Linked DNA regions of Daphnia pulex. The main gene of each other region encodes a partner of the protein of the gene in region 2 in a complex. Links are inferred from orthologs where the notes say so. Each region holds a gene or a part of one and is shown on either strand. Other genes may lie near its edges.

Evidence for each region. Proteins that work in one complex are often made in the same cells at the same time.
Region 1: protein lin-54 homolog (region 2) and protein lin-9 homolog share a complex: the UniProt entries of both Homo sapiens proteins name them as parts of the DREAM complex. The link is inferred for Daphnia pulex from reciprocal best matches to the Homo sapiens genes LIN54 and LIN9.

The regions. Positions count from the first base shown.
Region 1 is NC_060023.1:5,470,530-5,474,839, reverse strand, and holds the start of protein lin-9 homolog, read right to left. Parts: upstream 2,812-4,310; 5' UTR 2,761-2,811; coding exon 2,742-2,760; intron 2,424-2,741; coding exon 2,206-2,423; intron 2,135-2,205; coding exon 1,963-2,134; intron 1,907-1,962; coding exon 1,770-1,906; intron 1,712-1,769; coding exon 1,500-1,711; intron 1,345-1,499; coding exon 1,209-1,344; intron 1,124-1,208; coding exon 953-1,123; intron 618-952; coding exon 504-617; intron 440-503; coding exon 92-439; intron 33-91; coding exon 1-32. UniProt on the Homo sapiens protein: Acts as a tumor suppressor. Inhibits DNA synthesis. Its ability to inhibit oncogenic transformation is mediated through its association with RB1. Plays a role in the expression of genes required for the G1/S transition.
Region 2 is NC_060026.1:5,748,536-5,752,761, forward strand, and holds the start of protein lin-54 homolog, read left to right. Parts: upstream 1-1,400; 5' UTR 1,401-1,482; coding exon 1,483-1,507; intron 1,508-1,835; coding exon 1,836-1,978; intron 1,979-2,074; coding exon 2,075-2,296; intron 2,297-2,358; coding exon 2,359-2,583; intron 2,584-2,648; coding exon 2,649-2,921; intron 2,922-2,978; coding exon 2,979-3,354; intron 3,355-3,467; coding exon 3,468-3,610; intron 3,611-3,668; coding exon 3,669-3,785; intron 3,786-3,867; coding exon 3,868-4,065; intron 4,066-4,178; coding exon 4,179-4,226. UniProt on the Homo sapiens protein: Component of the DREAM complex, a multiprotein complex that can both act as a transcription activator or repressor depending on the context. In G0 phase, the complex binds to more than 800 promoters and is required for repression of E2F target genes.

The DNA of each region.
Region 1 (4,310 bases), on a different chromosome or scaffold from region 2:
TTTTTCATATTTAAAATCTTCGAGAGTCGTACCTATAGAACAAATATATGTTACAAATTTCCAATAATACGCAGATTTTCAAAGGACTTACGATTGGTGTCAGAACGTGGATGGGCAAGGAGCCAAACGTCGTTTCTTGTGGTGTCAATCTTGAATTAGACGATCCCAAGACAGGATCGCTGACTAAACTTGAAGAATCAGAATGAGAAGTGTGTCCAATTCGTGTGCCACTGACATGTGAAGTTAAAGATAAAGTAGGCATTGCAACTTCAAGGGAAGACTGTTTAATGGGCTGTTGATGTTGACTCGAGATTGTTAGTGTTTGCTGCTGTGAAGCCATCAGTGGTATTATTGCGGGGGTCGGTGGTAAAACAGCTGGGCGAGGGCGAAACCGTTGAGCCAAACTCGATATCGAAATCATGTCTACTGTTTCATTCGACTAACAAGGAAATTTGTTTTTAGTTGAAGATGTCTTTCGTTGTCAAGACGAACATTACACGTACCAAAACTTCGTAATCCGGAACAGAGTGTGTTCCCAATCCTTGTCTATCAAATGTGATGCGGTATGTATTATTGGACGTATCTACGGCATCGATTTGGCCAACGAACAATCCATCCTTTAATGGGAAGAAAAAAATAAATAATTACTACGTATTTATTTTTCCTTCTTTTTAAATCATAAATAATTATAGTCACTAGGTCATAGTTTTAACGTCACACTCCACATATTCTTTTATTGAGCTATGTATACCCACTTCAAACTCTTGCGCTGTTATCTTAAAACACTTAGAATAACTACGGCAATCATCTCATATATACTAAGGGAATCGAAAATACTTCGGCATTTCATTAGACCAACGGCATCTTGGTATGATCACACAAGATTGCCGTCGACTGACGAAAAATCGATAACAATTTAAGTAAATAGCTGAAGTATTGTGCTTAAGTGTACCTGTGGTTGCCGAAGTCTGGCCGTCACTTTGGTGCCGATAACCAAAGGCATAGGGATAAGATCCGGCAAATCCCTACAAAGAGATGCCATATCGCTTACTTTGCGCTGTTGAACTAAACGAATCTTCTGTCTTTTTTTGGCCAATTCTCCTCTTTCTTCATTAAAAAATGCCTAAAATGAATCAAGAGGGGGAAAAATTGGATAAGAAAATGTTAGAAACTGGACAAGCCATTTGCATGAATAAAAATTTAGGCACCTGAGAACAACGTCTTGGTCTTCCCATAAGACGACGGATGGTACACCACTGGGATCTAGTAAGCTGTCGCAATTTCAAGCTGGGGAATGACTCTCGTAAACATAGCATAAAGTCATTGTCGCCTTCAAACAATGCTCTAAAATAAATAAATAAATAATAATAATTAAAAAAAAAAAACGGTTACAGCAAAATGGAGTGCTTCACAAATTATAAGGAAATCGACGAAACACACAACTACAACCATTTCTTTTTCCCCATGCAAGGTATAAAATAAATGGCACAAAAACGTACTGGTCTAGATTACTGTAGAACCATTCATAGCAGACCCATTTGTGCGCTTTGGGTAACTTAAGTAAATTGCGTAAGCGGACACCAAGTTTTTTCAAGTCTTCGGCTTCTTGCTCAGCCGTTGTTGCTGCAACCGAAGGTAAAGCGGCCGCGGCCACAATACTCCGAGCACGACGTCCAACAACTAAAGGTTCACTCTTCTGCTTTTCCGGCAACTAATACAAATGATATAGTATACAATTATTGGCAATATTTAATATATAAAAATTTTACCTTAAAAGCTGGCTTAACCTTCATTTTCTTTAGCTTTGCCTTAACTCGATTAGTAGTTTTGAGCGGCGTCGAAGCATTTGATCCACTGCGACGTTCCGGAGTACCAGTTGCACTGCCAGGTGCAGATCTTGTGTGGCCTGTAACACAATTTACTGTTAATCATGATTACATTTTTTAAAATAATTTATTTAACCTCTCTTTATTATTTTTGAAGTGGTAACTTGAGGTGCTAACTGGTTTGAATGAGATGATCCACTAACACCACTGTTGGATTTTGTGGATTTCCTTGGAGATTTATTAGTAGATTGGTTGACAATAGTATCATCATCAAAGAACAATGGATTCTTTTTTCGAATTCTTGCTGGCTAAAATAAAAATTAGTTTCCACAATTTATTACATCATATAATCAAATAAAGTCCAAATAGTCTCACTTACAATGCCTCTTCTGTTCAATGTGATTGGATTTGAAGTGGTACTCCCAGTTATTTTTGAACTAGAGGATGAATTTACATCACTGATCCGTTTTAATCCAAACATTTCTGGGCCTAAAGTCATTGCTTGATTCGCCTGTTCTGAGTCATCTCCAAAATCAAGCTCTCTTTTCACTTTGAATCCTCCATTTTTGAATGAAAGTAAAGCTTCTGCAGATTCAGCTATACAGAATTTCAAATATAAATATTAAAGTTAAGTAAAACTCTTAACACAATGTACTTCAATTGATTTGGAAAATCTATTAATGCTCAATTTTCATAACAATTGGTTGAATGAGAAATTACAAACTTAAGCAAATATGAGGTAACAATATAAACAAGTAAGGAGCCGTTCTAGAGCTTAACCCAAATCGTATCAGACAGAAATTTATAATAAATTATTAAAACTACAAAAGATTTTCAAACTGAGTTTAAAGAAAAAACATAATTAACCGTCAAAGCTTAATTGTTTGTTTACGTTTTGCAGTTAAGATAACTTACTTTCAAGTAAATCCGCCATTTTCAAGCAGTTTTTTCAACTTTCAGAATCGCTCGAATCGTCAAGCTTGGGACGTTGCCGCATTGACGAATTGTAAACCAAAAAAAAAAATTAATAAAATATTACATTTTTCTTGCTGATTTAGTGATTTTTTTACTTCTAAATTATAATAATCTAAATCCTTTTTCTAATATTTTATTACTATTTTAAATTGTAGCTTGCATTTGTTATTGGATACCTCATAGCTATTAACACTCTCGAATCACAGCAAATTTTTATCCCTGAGGGTAGTACTTGTACTACCAGAAGGCATTAAAGTAAATGCGGGTGTCTGGGTGTGTAGGAGGGGGAGGGATGTGGGGGGAGTGTACGCTGTTCTGGGCCAGGCTTCCAGAACCTTTAATTCAGAATCAGAATAAATTTATAGAAATCTAAACTACTGCATCGATTTTCTTCAAACTGTTTGTGTAAACTTACAGTAATTTATCTCAGCGGATAGGTAAGTTTCGATTCATTTGGTAATACTAAATTTAATTTAATTTTATGCGGATTTAGTCATTAGCTTTTTGTGACTTAGGACAACCACAACATCAATTCGATTGTCTGTTTGTTTTGTTTTTGTTGTCTGATTTATCAGTTAGTCAGTTACCGAACGTCGTCATCATGTTGACATGGTTAGCTTGCAATTTGTAATTATTAAAGTAACGCATAATTTCAACATTCCTGTTTCAATTCTTAGGCAAAAGACTATACTATGGATTACCTTATTCATCATTGTCATTGTAATTGTTTCGCATAGCTAAATGCTTCATGAAGGGTAAATCAACGCAATATCATTTATTATTTTGAGTTTTCTTACGTATTTTGTTTGCCTAACTAATTTTGTTGTGACGCCCAGGAAAATGACCATAAAATGGGTTTGCTTGATTTTCATGGTAGTGTATTAAACCATTTCTGTGAGTCACTCATTGATTTTGTTGTGACGCCCAGGAAAATGACCATAAAATGGGTTTCTTGATTTTCATAGTGCACTAAACCATTTCTGTGAGTCACTCACTGATATAAATACCATATGATGAGTAGTCATCATGTATGGTAAGCACTGAAATAATTTACCATAATTGTAATGCCTCACGATAAATTTTATTTTGACTGTTAGGCTAATGATTAGAAGTTAGACATGAATATGTATCGTCCTCACCTAAATTTGGATGTGCACGTGTCTGTTTCAGAAAGAAAGTTAAGGACAGGAGAAGATGAGCATTGGTAATACTAAATTTTATTTTATTTTATGCGGATTTAGTCATTAGCTTTTTGTGACTTAGGACAACCACAAAATCCATTAGGTTGTCTGTTGACAGTCTGTTGATGTCTTGTTCAGTAAAAATAAATTTCGTCAACAGTTTTGTTATTGTTACAGGATATTGTTTCTCTTTTAGAGAAGTTCAGTGGAACAAAGGTATTTTGGTGTGTGCTATTCCATTTAAGAAATGTACGTAAATTCATCAATTATGCTAGGCAATATTTTGGGATGAACAACTCACTGGCCCCATTGGTTTGGTGGCAGAATA
Region 2 (4,226 bases):
TTGTTTATATTAAGTCGAACAAATTTACTACCAGAAAATATGAGTACAAAGAAAACTGTTGAAAAAATAAAAAAATAAATATTACCTAATATCACCTCTAATTACACTGCAAAACAGCACTCAAACAAAAGATTTCCGGAAAACAAAGACTGGTGTGATTCCGCAACTCATAATAAGGTACGCACGCCTCCAGAAGAACAAATAACGCTAACAATGAATCCACAACTCAACAGGGCCAGAACGCCAGATTTGCATTAGCTATGAATCGCGACTATAGCGGCATCGCAGGATTCGCAGCCAGTCGCAACTCGCAAATGTCGCAATGCATACTTCCCACTTTATGTAGAATTTAGTGAAAAATCAAATCGGGCACTCTGTAAATGTTCTAATTAATACAGTTTTTTTTTTAGTTGACAATAATAATAATCCTTGAAAATCCAAGAACATTTTCTTCTATTTTCTGTCTGTTTTCGCCAACATGCCTTCTGGTATTGTTTTGCTTTAAAAAAATACTCGTATTCGTACTTCTTTTGTCTTACTTGATTGGCCGTGGCCGGGGCTCAAGGCAAAAAAATAAGTTCGGAAGACGGATGGGTGAAAAGAAAAACAAAAAAGGGGCAACAAACAAATGCACGCGCGAGAGAAGAAACAAAAAAAAATGTTTCCCCCTTAGAAATCTCATAGTATCATATACTATATACAAGTCAATTACACACGCATTGCAATGCCATAAAATCTAAAGATTTATTATTTCATTTTTTCGAATTCGCATAGTATGTAAACTGAATAATACTCTGTTTCTTTATTCTGACATTCCTTATTGTACAGGAAATGGGGCACTCATCAGTCATCAACGCTTTTCTCACTTAATCCAAACAAGATTTTATGGGCTTCTTCGAACACGGACTAAGCTAATCCTCAAACTGCCACTGAGGCATTATTCGAAAAAGGGCTAAGTTTATTTATGTAAAATAACTTTCGATTGTTTGATAATTGTCCACAGAATTGCAGTTCATGCTGACGTAATATGGGAATCAGATACACATTACTGTAGAAAAAAAATTTCGTTGTTTTATTAGAAGATTGAAAATGCGATGATTGTAAAGAAATAAACCAAAGGATTACACGGACGGACCGGGACAGACAACACGGTTACCCAAAATGTAAGCGCTATCGTTCGCTAATCGCTCGATGTTTTTCTGAAATATTATCCCTGCAGTTCATACTTGTTTTTTGCTTGTTATTAAAAGCATTTTCGTAACAACATTTTAAAATCATTTTAAGTTGCAACACTTTAAAAATATATGATATTATGATGCCAAGCATCATGCCATATTAGAAATATCATCGTGTGGGGCGTGTGGAGTAAGATCAGAAATTTTCACGACACCTAGCCGCGACATAACGAACTAAGTGTAAAGAGCAATCGCAGGCGTCGCTTTGAATAAGTTCATGGCGGGCTGATCGTACATTTCCTCTTAAATGATGTCGAGTTCTCGAGATGAAGGTATTTATATTTTATCTTACCGTTGTTTAGATCATGACTGTGTTATTTCCGTCAAGTTAAGAATACTAATTTCACACAAAAATAGATCTGATTGCATAAAATTCAAGCTAGGTTGATGCCCTTAGGAAACTATTTTCAAAATGGCGCCTATTACAGGCGGGTTTTTCGATATTCGTTGAAAAATCTTTTTAAACTGGAATAAATTTTGGATTACATTAAACAGATATTAACCTTCCCAATGCTAAGATCACTTAGAAGCTTATTTGATAGTATGATTAAGTACCTACTTGATAGATATTTACCTTACTAATCTTGTTTTCCTTCCCAGTTTCCGCTATGCAAGTCGAAACAGATGACTTCATTCTCTCCCTTACTTCTGTTGGAGAAGAAAATGATGAACATACAGAAGTGATAACAACAGAAGTCTCAGATTTACCTCCTGATTTAGTTAACACTGATGTGGCTGATTTGGTAAGTTATTAAAGCTATCAAAGTTGGTTTCTAAAGACAGTTGTTATTTAGCATTCTTTGACATATTTTTAAATTTCCAACCATATTCTTTTGAAGGCAAACAACCCCAGTCTATGGCTTGGATTAGAAGGAGCATTGGAATCGAATGATGCAGTATCCAACATGTCCAATGTTTCTGGCATAGTAGAGGAACATGTTCAGACAAATGAGTCAGCAGTGCATTTAGGAAATGACCCCAACAACTTGAATATGAATGATCTGGGTCATTCTGAAGAAGTGGAAACTATGACTATTGAAGCTATGGAGGTGGATGTGCAAGTAATATACTCTAAATATTAAACTTTTTTTTTCCTAATTATCTGTTGTTTACATTATTTTAGAACATGGAAGTGAGCAGAAGTCAAGAGGTACACTCAATACCCTTAGAAAGTTTTATGGATCAAAGTGACATGGGAATCAGTATCATGACAAGCCAGTGTGATGATAAAAATGCGCCCTCGATAACGCCAATGTCCGTTTCCTTACCGGTAGTCGAACCAGTGACTAGAACTGTTTTCCCTCTGGGTCAAATCAAGAAAACAATTCCAGTTTCTTCCTCGACTCAGGTTTAATTAATATTTTATTTTTCTTAATTATTTCTTTTATTAATTATTGGTTTTTCAATGAATAGGTTACTAAAGTCGTGCTAGCACCCACAAGCCAAAATCAAACTGGACAGCCATTACTTCTTACAGTTCCAGCATCAACAAGTGGATTAACATCTCTACTAACTCCGAATACAAATTTGCGGTTTGTTAATGCCCTTAGTACAGATGGAAGTAAAATGTCGACCATCGGTACACCCTCTTCAAACATTCATTCACAATCTGTTCGCCTTATGAGCCCGACCAAAACCATCACACTTCAGCAAGCCCAACAGCTTGGACTTATATCGCCTAAAAAGGTAGACAAACGCCTAAAAAACGTATGAAATGGGAACTAATATATATTTTAAAATCAGGGGCAACCTTTAATTGTAAATAAAGTCGCCGTTGCCACGGCAAGTCAAGGAACCCCTACTACCAATATCTTGGCAGGAAAACAAGGAGCTAAATTTGCAGGAGGAAACGTGACGTTGGTAAGAAGCGCCCCCACCAAAACACCAACGAAAATTGCCCCAGCTCCCCCGCAGACAGTTGCATCGAATATTTCATCCAGTTCTTCAATACAAAGCCAACCAACCAGCTTACTGATAAAGAACGCTGCTGGACAAGTAACAATGGCAGCACTGGTCCAAACTAGACCCAACGGTGGTAATGTCACCAACATGAACCCCCTTAGTCCTCAGAAGTTCGTACTGAGACCTTCTGCACCAGGCCCGATCACTGCAGCCCAAGGTAAAATCGCAGATTTGTGTTAAAATGCGAATTTATCTTTTATGTTGCGAATTTTAAAACTGTGGTTTTTGTAATTAATTATTTAATAATCCATTTTTCAAACATATTTTTAGTTCGTCAAGGAAGTGGAACACAACCGGCTCAGTACATAAGATTAACAACAGCTCAAGCTTTAGCTGCCGGAATACTCCCCGCAATCGGAACCCACGGAGAACAGAGTGGTCAACAGCAGCATTTTCAACTTGCCGGGAACAAGGTTGTTTCGATCATCAAAATTGGAATGTGTAAATTAATATGAAATGTATTGGTTTTAGATACAATTAGTTCGCGTTGTTAACCCATCTGCTGGAAACAACGGGTCGGGAAATTTGGTTACTGCATCAGGAACTTCAAAAGTTATAATCGGGGCACCTACTGCAAATTCTATTAAGGTAAAATATTCAACCTGATAATCCTGAAATTATACAGAATTACAATTTTTTGTTTTTATTGTTTTTAAAAAAATTTTAACAGATTCATTCAGCAAACAGTTCGCTGGCACAACAAACAGTTAAGGGAACAACTACTTTAACAAAGGCGGTAGGGCAAGTAAAGGGTGCGATTTCCACTGTTAATGTTCCTCCAGGAGCTCAACGTATTATACTACCTGCTGGATCGATGGGTTCCCTGGCAAGCGGCCTTGTGATGGTTCCAGCTCAGTATACTTCTCAGGTGATTCATCTATCTTGTGTTCGATTTAATAGGTCTAGGAAAGTCGACGAATTTGATTTCTTAGATATCACGTAATTTTATTGATGAAACGTTTATTTTCAATTTATTTTTAGAGTTCAATCGGGGTGAGTGGTTCGCCAGCAACAGTCAACTTCTCGACC